Linked DNA regions of Coturnix japonica. The protein of the gene in region 1 purifies or fractionates together with the protein of each later gene. This does not show direct contact. Links are inferred from orthologs where the notes say so. Each region holds a gene or a part of one and is shown in the gene's direction. Other genes may lie near its edges.

Evidence for each region.
Region 2: the proteins of PARD3 (region 1) and PRKCI purify together in Homo sapiens (affinity purification with western blotting; 5 studies listed by BioGRID and IntAct, with this or other methods). This does not show direct contact. The link is inferred for Coturnix japonica from reciprocal best matches to the Homo sapiens genes PARD3 and PRKCI.
Region 3: the proteins of PARD3 (region 1) and RASSF8 purify together in Homo sapiens (affinity purification with mass spectrometry; 4 studies listed by BioGRID and IntAct, counting the BioPlex papers as one, with this or other methods). This does not show direct contact. The link is inferred for Coturnix japonica from reciprocal best matches to the Homo sapiens genes PARD3 and RASSF8.
Region 4: the proteins of PARD3 (region 1) and PARD6B purify together in Homo sapiens (affinity purification with mass spectrometry; 5 studies listed by BioGRID and IntAct, counting the BioPlex papers as one, with this or other methods). This does not show direct contact. The link is inferred for Coturnix japonica from reciprocal best matches to the Homo sapiens genes PARD3 and PARD6B.

What each region holds. Positions count from the first base shown.
Region 1 is NC_029517.1:12,118,063-12,121,626, forward strand, and holds part of PARD3 (partitioning defective 3 homolog), read left to right. Parts: intron 1-822; coding exon 823-1,050; intron 1,051-3,564. UniProt on the Homo sapiens protein: Adapter protein involved in asymmetrical cell division and cell polarization processes. Seems to play a central role in the formation of epithelial tight junctions. Targets the phosphatase PTEN to cell junctions.
Region 2 is NC_029524.1:17,533,977-17,537,540, reverse strand, and holds part of PRKCI (protein kinase C iota type), read left to right. Parts: intron 1-49; coding exon 50-100; intron 101-1,229; coding exon 1,230-1,315; intron 1,316-2,598; coding exon 2,599-2,739; intron 2,740-3,564.
Region 3 is NC_029516.1:62,026,755-62,030,893, forward strand, and holds the start of RASSF8 (ras association domain-containing protein 8), read left to right. Parts: upstream 1-1,311; 5' UTR 1,312-1,560; intron 1,561-4,139.
Region 4 is NC_029535.1:12,092,221-12,096,375, reverse strand, and holds the start of PARD6B (partitioning defective 6 homolog beta), read left to right. Parts: upstream 1-1,314; 5' UTR 1,315-1,468; coding exon 1,469-1,534; intron 1,535-1,630; exon of another isoform or gene 1,631-1,691; intron 1,692-4,155. UniProt on the Homo sapiens protein: Adapter protein involved in asymmetrical cell division and cell polarization processes. Probably involved in formation of epithelial tight junctions.

The sequences.
Region 1 (3,564 bases):
ATGCAAAAGCTAGCCAAGAGTATTCTGAACCTTTTAAGAATATGATTCAAAGTTCAGTGAATTCTTTTTTCTGATAGATCTCTCCCAGTTTTAACTATGACATCGAATTGTGCAACTGTCAGCTGATTTTCACTAAAACTGTGTATCCAAAAACAGAGCCTAGAAGTGTAGTGCTGTGGTACTGCTGGATTAACTGGGGCTTTGCCATAGATTTTTATAAACAAATTCACAAAATCCCACCAAACCAAGTGATATTTCTCAGAAATATTTAGTTATGGAAGTGTTAGCATTTTGATGCAAGCCTTTAAAAGTCAGTTTAAACTAAGCATATTCCTTGAAGCTAGAAGTCGTAGTACTTTACCAGAAGGTCACTCTAAACACGATAGGATTCATTACCAGAATATGCTCTCTGTTTATCAGTTGCTATTAGAAATGAAATTTTCTGCTCTAAAGAAAAACTTATTAAGTTTGTTTGATACTGTAAGATTTGTATCTCTGCTGTTTTTTTGAGATGCGTTTAAAGCCCTGAGCTTACTTTTATCATTCAGATTGTTGAAATAATAGCGATGGGTGTTGGTATCTTTTCACTGATTTGAAAAGCCAGACCTTGCTAACGTTGTCGGTTTCATTGACTGTAACTTGACATACTCATTCACTTCTGAGACCAACAAATCTGCTGAGAATTCCATGCAGATTATTGAGAGATGATGTGAATAATGTTAAGTGTGTCCCCAAAGACTTTCACGATGGATATGCATAATCAAGCATGCAGTTCTCTACACTAATTCTAATTACTTTTTTTTTCTTCCCTAAATCACTAAGGTTCCCCGACCAGAGATGTAGGGCCTTCATTAGGTCTGAAGAAATCCAGCTCATTAGAAAGTCTGCAGACAGCCGTTGCTGAGGTGACTCTCAATGGTGATATTCCTTTCCACCGCCCCCGCCCACGAATTATCCGAGGACGAGGCTGCAATGAAAGCTTCAGAGCTGCCATAGACAAATCTTATGATAAACCTGTAGCAGATGATGATGACGAAGGCATGGAAACTTGTAAGTAGGCTATTGTTGTACATAATGAATGTTAGCAGTATCAGTCAATTCCTTTAGAAGGTAATTAGAAGTGATAGAAGATAATTTTAAGATTTTAAAAGAATAGAACTAGTATCTCTTCCTGGATTTGTTTCAGGCTTTTGCCCTTCATATGCATTAAGCAGATTGCAACACTCTGCAGCTTCCTTCCTTCCTAAAATAAGGAAATAAGATTATTAGGAGTGTGTTTACTTAAATTATTATGAAAATTTTCTGTAAGGCAGCTAATTAATTTACTGATGTAAATTAGAAAAAAAAAATTGCACAGAAACTAAAAAAACCCCACTGAATTAATGTTACAAAAATATGTGCATCTAACTTTGAAAGGGTACATTTGTAGTGTCTGGGGAAAAAAAAGAAATCACTGTCCTTTAATTAGAATGAGTAAGGCTGGCAGATCTAATAAAATATAAAGTTAATGATCAGCTATTACCCACCCTAATGGGCATTCATTTACATTTTCAGTTCTTTAACCCGAAGTATGACCCAACATGTGGAGAATGTCATTAACATAAAAGAATCACTTCAAAGCTAACCTTATCATTATTGAACTGTGTAAGAATGGGCCGGGAAAATGACAACTTATATTGAATAAAAATAGTGTGAATGGTAAATTATCTCAATCAGAGGTTGTATTAAAATTATGGAATTTTTAACCTTCATGTTGTATTAGTTTCAACTTGTCACACACACCCGCAGAATTTTTTTTAATCGACCTGTAGCTAGTTAAAAGTTTATGAATGGAGAAGACGCTTGGAAAGCTGAAATGGTAAAATATTTAGCTTGAATACTTGCAGAAAAGCCTTGAAAAAAACTTTCCACTCTCTGCTAGTTTTAAAATGTTAGTTTCTGAAGTGCCAATCCGTAATATTCCATTGCAAGCTTACTCCTTTTATATTTTTGAACGCGCTTTGGTTGTTTTTCTTTTAATCTGTTACTAAAAGTGTTCTGAGACTGAAAGGGCGGTCATTCTGCCAGTCACTTTTCTCAAATATAGTTACAGGCAGAATTAATTCTGCTTCGCTTTTACCATACCTAGCAATTTCATGAAGCAATGAGGCTAAAAGCTGGTCTGGTGCTGCTGGCTGTCATTCTGTTTTTGACCAGCAAGAGAACAGGAATGAGAAGAAGTGTAATGGTCCTGGTCATCCTCCCAGACTGTGTGTGTATGGTCTTCTGGAATGTATGGTCCCATTTTCCTAAAAACCCTTATATGGTGTGAGCCAACTGATGGAGATAACTTGTTTTGAGGTATGAGATATACAGGGCTTACCCAGAAGTTACAGATGATTTAACTTTGTTTCACAAAAATTACAGCAAAACTGTTTTGAAAAAGTGTATTCTATGTGAATATAGGCTCACATAAGATGTTTTGAGTTTATTGATGCAACACATAGAAAGCAGAAAGAAAATATTTGGTAGTCTTTGTATTCTTTGCCTGGAAGTTATGGAAACCAGAAAAAAATTCAGTCTATAAGTGAAATGCTGTGTGGTGAGTCTTCATCCTCATCTTTGTATGGATGAAGTCTAGCACTGATGGACCAGGAGCCATCTCACTGTCATAGGAGATCAAGAGCAAGATTGTTTTTAAATCTTACCTGCTAAGGTAGGCCTTCAGGAAGTATGACCAAGATATATCCATGGAACTGCAGGTTCTGTTGAAGCTGTGGGGCCAAATAGCTTCCATGTATTACAGTAAAGCATCTACAAAGTAATACCGAAAGTTACACTGCAAGTCACTGCAATTGTAATAGAAAGAGATGCGTAGTAAAGCAGCTGTAGTAAGTTCATTGAACAGAATTCAGTTCAGTGAACATTGTTGAAGACCCTTTTGGTCTTCCCCTTCTTATGGTGGCCAAGAGAGCTTAATAGCTAATCCAGACATATGGGGCATGGGATCAGCTCAGAATGCTAAATCCTGAGGTCTGTCTTTCTAGAAACATGTGTGTATCTGTAAAACAAAACAAAACAAAACAAAACAAAACAAAACAAAAAACAACTGCAGTCTTCCCAACTTCGTGTAAATTTTTTGTAAATTCCAGAGAATTTGCCAAGTGATGTCTGCAGCTGGAAAAAGTCTGTGTGCCTTTGAATACGTGGAAGTTTATTTAACAATCTGGTACTGGCCTAATGGCTCGCTGCTGCCATAATGACATGGCATAATTCTCTTTTAATTGTATTTAATTATTTCATAATTGTTTGAAATTAAAATGTGGCTTTCTTGTATTATAAAATTCAAGCAAACAAGTTGGTGGTCAATTTGCTGATACCCTTGAGGTTGGAATCATTTGTCTTTCTTGATATGTTTTCCCTTTCTTCTCCAAATGTTTCTGTGCTGAGAGTGCTTTTCTTTTCCAGACTCTGCGCTGCAATATATTTTATAGAGGAATTCGTAACATGTCATTACCCCAAATAAGAAAGCCATAAAACATAGGTAGTATGTGTGGCAGAGGGGCCGGCTCTTCTAAATTAACT
Region 2 (3,564 bases), on another chromosome or scaffold:
TGTCTTCTGTATGAAACAGATTAATAAGAAGCTGATATTTTTCTTGCAGTGTTCCCTTGTGTACCGGAACGGCCTGGCATGCCTTGCCCAGGAGAAGACAGTAAGTAGGCATCTTCATTTGGGCATACTTAAAATAAGTAATGTGTATTCTAGAAAAAGTTGATACTCTATTGTTTGATTTCCTGTGCTTATGACTATTAATAACACGAATCTCTACAGCTTAAATATTAAAAAGGAATGTTGTTTGTCATTTCTGAGTCATTGTTAATAAAGCATTTTTGTATTTCTGTTAACTCTCCACGTGTCTCTGCTTTCCTTGCTTTTGCCTCTTCCATGGCAGTTTTCCATTCTGTTCCTGTCTCTAGTAGTTGCCAGATTGCTCGCTGACTGATGTGAACAAAGACTTGTAACCACTTGTAATGAGGTGTCAAATAATCAATTTCAGACCAACCTTTGGGTAAAATCAGGAATATTTTGTGAACACCTTTGTCATGCTGGTAAATGTACTAACCATGAGAGGTGATTTTCCATATGTTTAATGTAGGCTTCTATGCTGTTGTTATTCATCTTATAAAAGATGATGGGTATGCTATGCATGCACACGTCTGTCAGCTTGATATCCAAGTTCTTGACAAATGTCAGTGTGCATGCTTAAATGTTAACTATGGCAGTAGGATTAATGCTGCCTTTCTGAAGGGGAGAAAGAAAGGTTCTAGGCTACATCTGAAATAGCTTTGCAACTTGAGGTAGTTTTGCATATTCTAGTTTTCAGTTTTGGGTCCTGAAATGCCTGTAATGAGACAAACAAACAGTCAGAAAATGGTGGCAGCTGTGGACCTAAGATACTGGAGGGTTTGTGCATGCAGCCATAACAGGACATGCTCCTGAAATGGACCTTCTTCCCTCCCTCCCACAGCTCCTCCTTGAATTAAGTAAGGTATGTGCATGTTTTGCAAACAAGTGCTTGTGTTGTTTGGACAGTTTTCCTCCTTTTGACTCACTCCGCCTTTTAACTTTGGAAAGGCAGAATTAACTTTCAGATGGTCAGAGTATTTTGCTTGATGTTTTCTCCAAAATTGGAAAAATGAAGAAAATACTTTGTGTTTCTATAAGGCTGCAGGAATGAAACTTTACTCTGCAAATCACTGTACACAGAAGCACCAGTAAGAAAGTACTGTAGTTCTGTATTTATATCTTTTATGGATATAATTGTATGTTTTTCCTCTTAGAATCCATTTATCGCCGTGGCGCCCGCCGGTGGCGAAAGCTCTATTGTGCAAATGGTCACACTTTCCAAGCCAAACGATTTAACAGGGTGAGACTCTTGTTGGGTACTTAAAACCATGTTCCAGGGTTGTCTTACTTTTATAATTTTAATGTTACTGCCTTGAAAAAAATAAAAAGGTAGATTTATTCTAATTGCTGTTGACTGCCTGTAGTTCTTAGATGCTGGTAACTGTAGTTTCAGGAAACTTTATCCATATAAAATTAGGCTCATAAAAACATAAATAGTTGCAATTCACTTTACAGTGTACTCTGTAACTATGCTGTCACGGAAGTGTTCTGGTGCTCCCTTAAAATCTCCGGGGAGGGCAGACTTTAACACTGGCATTAGATGATTGAACTGAAAGTGCATTTGCAGTTGTTTAAGCATACGTCGAGTTGCTTATGATGCACAGTTTTCCTTCACGACTTAAACAAAACCTGAGATGTTTCTCTAGCATCTGCTTATGATGGCGTAGAAACAATTGAAAATAACTGGCCAGTTTTAATACTTTCAATAAGCAATAGCCAAAGACGATTGAGAATCAAGAGAGCTATCTGCGGCTTGTATCTGAAAAATTAGATAAAATAAGAATTGAATAAGCAAGGTTCCTTGACAGCTTCAGTATTCTTTCCTTTTTCTCTAAGCTGTGAATCACGTGCTTAAGTAACTCTCAAAATGATCTCCACTAAACTTCGTCTTCAGCATTATTCATTTAATATTTTTTACATAAGCAATGCTCTAGGAAATATTCATTGACCTCTTCCCGGTCAAAGGCTGAAGGCACCATCCCACTTGCTTTTGTTGGTGCCCTGCATTCATGGTTCTTTTGAGTTATGAGTGTCCTTCAGTGGGTGGTGATCTTCCCATTTCCTCTTAGCTGGTGGTTTATCTATGTTGAAGCTTTTGCTTTCCTGCTGTTCTCTCTTCAAATCTAAGGACTCCCCTACATAAAGATAATGAGACCTAGCAAACTAGCTTGGTCACAGGAGCCTGCTTATTCATCTGCACTGCTTTTGACCTGCAGTTGACACCCATCTCTCTGGGTCCACGTGCAGCAGAAGAGGCTGACTGTGCCTGCACCTTCCCATGTAAATGTGCTCTTTCTGATAAGCAGTCGCTGCTTATTGTTCATTTGTAATTCTTGGGCTTTTCTGTGTTGTATCTGCTTGTTCTATCTTAAAGTTCTGTCATAGGCTTTTCAGGTACAGTAGCAACTTGAGTAGGGGTTTTTCTGATCTCCTATCCTCTGTTCTTCAGTAATGGGAACGTGGCTGAATAGTTTCTGTTATTTAGCTTTGCTTTTAATCAGTTTTATTGATTTATTCTTCTAGAGAGCTCACTGTGCCATCTGCTCAGACCGAATATGGGGCCTGGGTCGCCAGGGGTATAAATGCATCAACTGCAAACTCCTTGTTCACAAGAAGTGTCACAAACTAGTCAATACTGACTGTGGTCGTCATACACTACAACCAGTAAGTACGGTTTATCTGAAATGTTGTCTTAAAAAGCAACAATAAATGAAATAAAGGAGCTTGTTTCATACTAAATGGCTTTCAGACTATGCTCAGCAAACAATCACAGTAGATAAAGCTTAAAAAGGCTGTCATTCTTTATGGCTACTGCATTACATGACAAGAAAATAGAAGAGATGCTTAGCAAAATAGCATTTCAGTAACAAGAAGGTCTTAATTCTTGTATAGATTGTCTATTTCTGTGTCAGATGGTGAAAAGCAAGGTAAATATGACATGTAGTTACATAGTGTTTATATGAACGTGTACATATATTACATTTCACATATTCAGAGTGACATACAAGTAAATTCTCTAAACATCTGTTAGATTATTAGACTATTTTGTTTGATAGAAAAGGAAGGCAAGGCACAATAGTTCTGACCTCCTCCTAAGTGATGCAATCATCTTTAGTTCTCAAGTCCCCAAAAAGCAATATGTAAATACCACTTGCAGTTTAATGTTTAAAAATGGACAGCTGGAAGTCTTTATTTCATAAATTTATTTGGATAATAAAGCTGCTGAAGTATGTGCAATTTTCTGTCTCATTTTGCATCTAATCTACTACCTTCTCCTTGCTGTATGAAGTTTTCTTCAATAGCTTCTAGCAACTTGCCATAACTTCTGGAAAGCAGGAAAAATAAGGTCTATGGTGATTCTTTTTATACTGTATGGACTAGAGCAGTAGTTATGTGGATTCATCTAAAACAGATTATATTTCTCAGAGATTCTTTATTGTCTCTCAAATGCTTTTCACAATCTGTTAAACAAATGTTGTGCAAATTTGC
Region 3 (4,139 bases), on another chromosome or scaffold:
AACGGTGTGGAGCTGTGCCAGGGGAGGGGCAGCTGGGGGTGAGGGACAGGGTCTGCACCACAGGGCGGTGGGCATGGAATGGGCTGCACAAGGCAGTGGGCACGGCCACAAGTGCTGGAGTTCAAGGTGTGTTTGGACACCACTTTCAGCCACAGGGTTTAATGTTTGCATGGTCCTGTGTCAAGTGAAGAGTTGGACTCAGTGACCTTTGTGGGTCCCTTCACACTTGGGACATTCTATGTTACAAGGTGTACACAGCTGACCATGCAGACCACCAGTGCCTGGACTGATTCACCTTATTTCTGCTATTTCTTCTTACTTATAACTCATCACATGTGTCTATGGCCTTCTACAATAACTAGCTGGCAGCTCCTGCTGTCTAAGATAGCAGAAGAAGGCTCAGAGGCACGTCAGGCATATAAGTTACATCCTTCTGTGCCCCGAAAACTTTCTCAGCAGGAACTTTTTGTCTTGCCAGGCACACTTACAACAAATATGCTCAGCTGTATAAAGTTGTGATCATAACCCAAGATCCACGTGTGGACAACCATCACTAAGATAGTGGTAGTCAAAACAGCTGAGAGTTCCAAGAGATTCCATTGCAAACCATCAGCCTGATGTGCCATAGGGGTGATAGGGCAAAGGCCAAAGTTGGGCAGTACTGCTGCTGGGGAGACACCGCCAGGCCCTGTACAAGCGCATGCAGACAGCAGAAAATGCTTGTGAATCATTTTGTTTCCTTTTTGTCTTAGAAACAGTCATCTTCCGATTCCAAGCTGTACAAACACACAACTGATTAAAAGTTCCTGGTGCCAAAAACAGCCTCCTGCATAAGACTCTTCGCTGCTCTGGGTTGTTATTTTATTTTTTTATTATTATTATTATTTTTCCGGGGAATTTTCCATCATCAAAAGCACAAGGCAGAAACAATAGCAAACACTGCCAGCCGGCTTTCAGTTAAAAACAAGCAACAAAGGCATTCCTGTTCCATCCAGAAACAATAGGAAAATCTCGGCGATTAAAGAAAAATAAGAGGGAGAGAGAAGGAGTAGGTCTGGATTCAGAAGGCTGCCGGTGCTGTGCTGTGCTGTGCTGTGGTGTGGTGTGGTGTGCTGCGGTGTGGTGTGCTGTGGTGTGCTGTGCTGTGCTGTGCTGTGCTGTGCTGTGCTGTGCTGTGCTGTGCTGTGCTGTGCTGCCGGGCCGTGCCGTTCGGCGGGGCTGCAGCGCCTCTCTCCTTACCAGGCTGCGGTGCCTGCCCGCCCCCGGGCCGGGAGCGTCGGCGGCGGGGGGCAGCGGGCGGCTGCGGCTTTAAGAGCTCCCACAATGCCGTGCTGGCGTCCCAGTTCCGTTACATGTCTCTCCCGGTGAAGGGGAGCGAGGCAGAGGCAGGAAGGAGGCGGGGGACAGCCCCGCGCCCACCTACGCGCTCGGCGGGCCCGGGGGAGGAGCGGAGCCAAGTGGAGCCCAGCCCAGCCCTCGGGCTCTGCGCCCCCCGCGGGGCACGGGAGTGAGGCGGAGCAGGCGGCCGCCGGAGCCGTTGGTGTGCCCGCAGCCGGAGCGGTAAGTGTGGTCGTGCCGCTCCTCGGGCTCTCCTCGGTCCCCAGCCCGCCGCCCTGTCCGCCCCTCTGCCGCCAACTTTCCCGCTGTCGTCGCTCGCTCCCCTCGCTTTTCCTCCGCTTCGGTTGCTCTTCGCACTGTGCCGTGCCTCCTTCCCGTCACGCTCCCTCCGTCTCTCGGTTCTTTCCTTCTCTCCTCGTCCGTTCCCTGCCCTTTGCTGGCGCTTTGCTTTCCTTCGAGCGCCGCGTTGAGAGGTACGGGCTGTTTTGTGCGTCCTTGGGAAGAGACTCGAGCACCGACTTTCCTCGCACCCCTATTTCTCTCGTCCTTTCCCGTGCTGTGCCCAGCGGGAGGGTCTCACTTTTCCTCTCTGCATCTTTGCGACGTGGACCGTTCGGTTTCGATCTCTTCCTCCCTTCCTTTCCAGGCGGTGACGACTCGTTTCGTGATTAATCACTTATTCCCGTCCCGACCTCTCCTCCTTTCTTTCACTCCCCACAGTGAGCAAAAGATTAAAAAGAAAAGCTGCTGCGCCAGCGGGAGCGTGTGAGGTTCCGTTCTGTTGGTGGGGGGTGAGAACCGGGGGGACGCTGAGAAAAGCTGGGGCAGGAGCGGTGCAATGGGAGACAGAACTTTGCAGGGCGGAAGATGGATCCAGCTTCGTGGTCTGCGCAGCCCTGAAGCGTGGCTGTGGTCATCCAGGACATGGCTGGGCTGGGGTGGCCTGTCCCTGCTCAGCGAGGGGCTGCAATCCTTATGGCAGCAGCGCATTGGGCTCACTCAGCTCAACGCGGCTGGTGGGCTTCGTTGGTGCAGGAGATGAGAGCAGAGGGAATGCAATGGGTTCCAACAGCCCCTCTGGAATGACACCTGTCACCCCTCGCTTCCAGAAACTGTGGATGTGTCAGAGCTTGACAGATTAACACCTTAGTTGGACTGTGTGGTGCCCTGTTGGTGCTGTAGCGTGCCTTGGGAAGGCTGTGCTTCCCAAGACACCTGCTTGCAGGGGTTGGGTGCTCACAAGTAGTGGGCTGGGTGGTGGTGCGGGTGTGTTAGGTGCTGTGGAAGTGAAGCCTGACTTGTTGGTTCTGTAGACAATGTGTAGTTTTGGGAAGGTGAGGTCAGCTCCTTAGGTCCAAATGGAGCACTGTGGCTCATGGCTGTGTTATTACCTCTTTATTCTCTTCCTTAAGGCCACAGGGTCACCTGGTTCAAGTGCAGATGAAACCCTATTTGTCTCTCTTCCTTTAAAGAAAGGAGAAACTACAGTTTCTTTCCGAACTTTGTTTAATTATAGCTGATAATAAAATAGGCTGGGGATTGAACCGGAAGCATTTATTTTTATGTTGGCGATTCCTTGTGTATCCGATGACTTTTTGGCTCTGGGTTAGCGGAAATGACTGCTTGTCACTGCGCTGTTCAGCTGTGCGCCCTTTACAACGGCACTGAGGTTCAGATTTGCTTTTTACACCCGTGTAACTTCTGTCCTTCCCACCCCCACAAGCCTAACGGGACCTGACCGCAGTTGTGTGATTTGCTTTTTTTTTTTTTCTTGCTCTTTCCTGGAGATGAGAAACTTTGTAATCGGGGGGAAATAGATGGGGATAAATTAACCAAATATGGTTAGCAAGAAGTCGGAATCTTATAAAGCTGTGCTGAGAGCCAAGGACCATGGGTCCTGTTCCTGCCTTTGCCATGGAATGGCAGTGTGACCTTTACTGAAGCTGTCGTGTCTTAGCTGTGCCTTATAGGACGTGGAGGCTTTCAGAATAACTGTAGTACTCTTACACGTGATTTTTAGGGATAATTTTATCCATATGCATTGCTGTGTTTGGTTGTGATTTGGAATGCTGGTCAGGTGGCAGTTATTCTTGTGCTAATATTTGTTCTTAGGAAGCTGTAAAGCAGAACTCTTGATTGGTGTTTATTTTGAATGACAGTGCACCAGATTTTTGCATTGCTGTCACAGTTTGGAGCCTCAAGTTCTATTTATCACTTGTATACTTGGAGAATGTTGCATGCTTCATCTCTGATACCTTGTTGGTGTGTGAATTTGCTCATTACTGCTCAGGGTCTCCAAAAAGAAACCCTATGAGCTTTAATTGCAGGTTGGAGAATGGGCCGGGGACCCCCCTCAGTGGGATGTGTGCAGCTCTTGGCTGTTTCTTGAGCTCTGTAATTAAGAGATTGGCTTAGTACGTGGGTTTTTTGTTTGCTTTCTAATTTTAGGTCTTTGCCGAGATTCTTAAGTCTTTAAGATCTCTATCTTGAAATTAAATGTAAATGCTGTGTGGTTTTCTGGGGCTTTCTTGAAATGTTGGATTTTACAACTCTCAAGCCAGGACCATACAGCCTAACACTGACATACTATGATCTCAGTGCTCGCCTTCCTGTGCTGTTTGAGGTTTGTAGCCTTTGTAAACAACGGGCTCGATCCTGCTGGAAGTGTTTCTCTGCTGTGAATGAGAGACTTCTCAGTAGAAACTTGCTGTTATGCAGCTGTAGGTACAAGTTTCTGTCTTCTTGCCTCTGCCTCTATGAGCCCCTTTCTGTCACCATCTAGGCAGGCAGTCTGTCTTCAA
Region 4 (4,155 bases), on another chromosome or scaffold:
AAACCCAACCTGTCTTTCAACTTCACAGAAGCTGAAACTGGTTGTGCCATGAATAGTCATGATCAAGTCACAGGTTTGTAGACTCTGTGACTAAAATAGCTCTTCAAACTTGTGCTGCTCCCGGCCTCTCACTGTATCTTGATCTGAAATCAAGCTGTTTATTGCATTCCTTCCTCATACGTCAGCTCCCAGTGATGAGAGCATGCCAGTGATTAATACTCTTTATTAGGTCAGTTCCAGAGACTTGAAATGAATTTGCCCTGAGTCCTGAAGCACGTTACCACACCCACAGTGTGGAACTCCAGCCATCCTAGGAATGCAAGATAGAAAAAAATCCTTATCTGAGGTGAGACTCCAGAAATGTTCCACAGTAAAATCGGCTGCAGGCACAGATCAGCTCCAGGAAGTTCTTCCAAGGAAAACGGCAACTGACTGCTTTAAAAACCTGGCAGAGGTTTGCAAGGGGCTCTTGACTTCAATAAGCCGACTCACACGCTTTCTTCCTCCCTCTACATACTAAACTCTGTAAATGAAAAATCCTTTTTCTTCAGATTTTAGGCATGACACGGTCCCCATGTTAAGGTCTGCCGGTACCTCCCCAAGGTCACTATGTGGACGGTTACACAATAATGGTTGTTCTATCGCAGTGTAACACACACAAACGACGTCACAGAAAACCCTTCAGGCGTGTCACCAGGTTACGGACGGGGCTTAAAACAGAAAAGTCCAACAACTGCACGGCCAGGACAGGCCTAAAGAGCATGAGAGGGACAGGGAGGGAGCACGGCCTGGGCTGGGGCAGTCACACCCAGCAGGATGCAGTCAGTCATGTTTCAATGTCTCACACACATCCCGCTCCGTACAGTCTCACACATTCGGATCCAGTCATGTTTCTCTCACACCCCGCACACTCGCGGCCTTTCCTTCCCTTCCCTTTCCCGGCGCTGTCCCACTCCTCCCTCACAGATCAGCGCATCGTGCTGCCGGGCCGCGTTCCCTCGCACAGCCCCATGTTTGCACACCAGACCCGCCCGCTGCCGAGCAAAGGTCCCGCGGCTCGTCCCACCCCCGCCCCTACACAGAATCACTCCGTACTTCCTCATCTCCGTGCGGTTCCTCCCCCTCCATCTTGTAGCTCCGCCTCAACCCGGCAGGTGCTCGGTGCCGCCGTCCCGCGCTCAGCGCGCACGGCTCAGTGCGCATGCTCGCGAGCGGCAGGTGCGCGGCCCCGCCCGTGTGCGCATGCGCGGTGCGGCGCTGCCCCGTCCCGCGGTGTGAGGGCGGCAGGTGCCAGGAGCCGCCGGCCCCGCCCGGTGCCGCTGTGTCAGGGCGGCGCCGCGGTGCCAGGAGCGGCTGGAGGCGTGAGGGGCGGGGGGATCCGGGGGGATCCGGGCCGTGAGCGTCCCGCTCTGCCACCCGTGGGCGCCCGGGGCCGAGAGAAAAGAGCAGACGCCGAGCAGCCGGCGGAATGAGTCGGCCTCACCGCGGGCCTGCGGGCAGCCGGGGCCTCGGCACCATGGAGGTGAAGAGCAAGGTAAGCGAGCGGGGAGCGGGCGGCCCGGCCGGAACCGCGGGGAGCCCGGCGGGTCGGGGCTGAATCACGGACTCACTGAGTCACTGAGTCACTCACCTGCGGCAGCGCGGCCTGGGGCGGGAACCGCGCGGCGGGACTGAGCGAGCGACGGGACGGAGGAACCGGGCCCGGTGTGCGCAGCGAGCGGCGGGACGGAGCGGGGCGGGGGTGGGAGCTCGGGGGGGATCGAGGCTAAAGGCGTTCCAGGGTCGGGTCGGGGGTTGTGACGGACGCCGGGCCGTGATCGCTGCCCATCACACCGGGCTGCTCTGCGGGCAGAGTCTGCATGAGAACTTAGTGCCGGCCGAGCTCTCACGAGGCTGTATGTGTATGTGTGTATGTATGTGTATGTATGTACACGCTGTGGCTCCTCCAGCAGCCCTGCTGTCAGATCTCCGCAGGCTCCATGTGTCTATTGGCATTTCTGCATCATTTCTGCATCCATTGCCGTTGGTTTTTTCTCCTGGTTCCCGTAGTTTTGCTGGCAGATGTTCAGTGTTCTGAAACAGATCTTGGGGTTTTTTTTGGCTTACCGTGATCATATTTTGGTACTTTGTCCTTTTGCAGTTAATTACATTTACAACTGTAAATCTTAATATGCGTTAGATGTGAAATCTTAACTGGTGTGAAGCTGCTAAAGAAATGCGTTGTTGTGAAATCCTTTCCATCATCACACCAAACTACACGGCCCTGTGGGGATGTTTTCTTTCATTGGTTTAAAAGAAAAAAAGTCCTTTTGTGCCTCTTTATTTCTAAGCCGCTCGGGTCTGTTTGCTGTTCGTACTCTGCTCCTTCCTGCAATCCAAGCATCCCTTTGCAGTGTAGGAGAGGCAGCCGGGAGCTGGGGATCTTTTTCTTGTCTGTTTTTTAAACACTAGTGTGACAAGTGCTTGTACATGAAAAGCAGTGCTGCGCTTTTGGGACTAGCATGGATGATAATTACTGCTCGTTTTTAACTTAACTGTGATATGGGTGAAGTCACAATGCCAAGGAATACTTGGCTGCCATGATCCCAAATGCTGGTTAAGCACAGCTGTGACTGTGTCAGTGGAGCGTGTTGTTTGTTGTTTTAATCTATGTGCTTGTAGGATTGAAAGCAATCAGAATAACGTGTTTATAAGCAATACTTCTTGCCACAGCTCAAGCCTCCCCTGTAGTGTGCATTGCCTGATTACAAGTATGTCTAGGGATCAGCTGCGTGGTGCCTCCTTTGGCATTCTGCAGAGCAGGTCTAATGAGTTGGGGCTGTCTCTTAGTGTACTATGAAGAATGTATCGAGGCGTTCTCTGAACTACTTGTTGCTAATACATTACTTTCAAGTATCTAGATTTAATGTATCAGAGGAGTCATCTTCCTTCCGTGAAGAAGCTCCAAAAAAGAAAGAAAAGCTGTGTGGGAGGTGGAGGGGAGCATTCCTGTGCAGTGCTGTAAGATTTGAAGGCTTGCCATCAGTGTCCAACGCTGTGTTCAGGTAGTCCAACTCAGTAATCATGCACCGACTGACAAACCCATGCCTGCAAAGCCCATTGTGAGTGGGAATAGTGTTTTCCGATTCTTTGTTTTGTATGGAATGAAATCTAATATACCGATAAGCTCCAGCAAATGTATCTGTCTTATGTTCTGTTATTATTGCTTAAGACTGGTAGTGTAGCAGCGGCATGCAGCATTAGACAGGACATAAAGATGCTTCTCATAAGCGAGTCTTACTCACGTGGGTATCTCAGGTGAATTCCTGGTACATTGCCATAGCTTGTGCTGTGTTTTTCCAGCTGATTCTTCTGATTTTACGTTTCTGTGCTTCATTAAAGTTGCAAATTTTTGTTAGTGCAGAGTGGAATGTGGTGCAACGTTTGATATCAAATGGAAACATTGCATGAGATTAATATAGACAATTATTACATGAGATTAATATGGACAGGGAATTAGTTTAGCTTTTCTACTTTATCAGCTTCGTAGTACTGAGCATGTGGCAAGTTTTGTTAGAGCATAACGTCTGTGGAAATGGTGGGGGGAAAAATTAACTTCACATGCTTGGAAATGTGACCGTTCATATCCTTGCTGCAATCACACCATGTTTGCTTCAAGTTGAGAGTAAGATTGTTGGTGGCGTTCTTTTAAATTCCAGTGTTACTTAACCGTTCAAACTATGTTGTCTTTCAAAACCAAACAACTGCAGATTGATACAATGCTTGGAGAGTTTCCATAGCGCTCATACTTGAAATAGCTGCAGCAGGGTTCAGCAGGAACTCGGTCACGTTCCATCACTGACATCACACTTCAGCTGCCTCTGACGTGGAGGAAGCTCCTCCTGCAGGCTGTTGTTTGCTTTGTGTGAGTCATCTCTTCTGACTTAAAGTGACTGAAATAGGAATATTTCTAGAGTGCCCCCAGAGAATTCCATTATTTGAGAACTTTGAAGATGAGGTGTTAATAGTGTGTAGGCTGTTCTGCTGTGCCTGTTTGAGTCTGGGCGGTGTTAATGTGCTAACAATAGGGTCCTTGTCTCCTTATTTTCGTGCCTTGGTATGTGAGAATTCTAAGGCCTCTATTCTCTAGAGCTGTTTTAATCAGTGGTGAGGTAA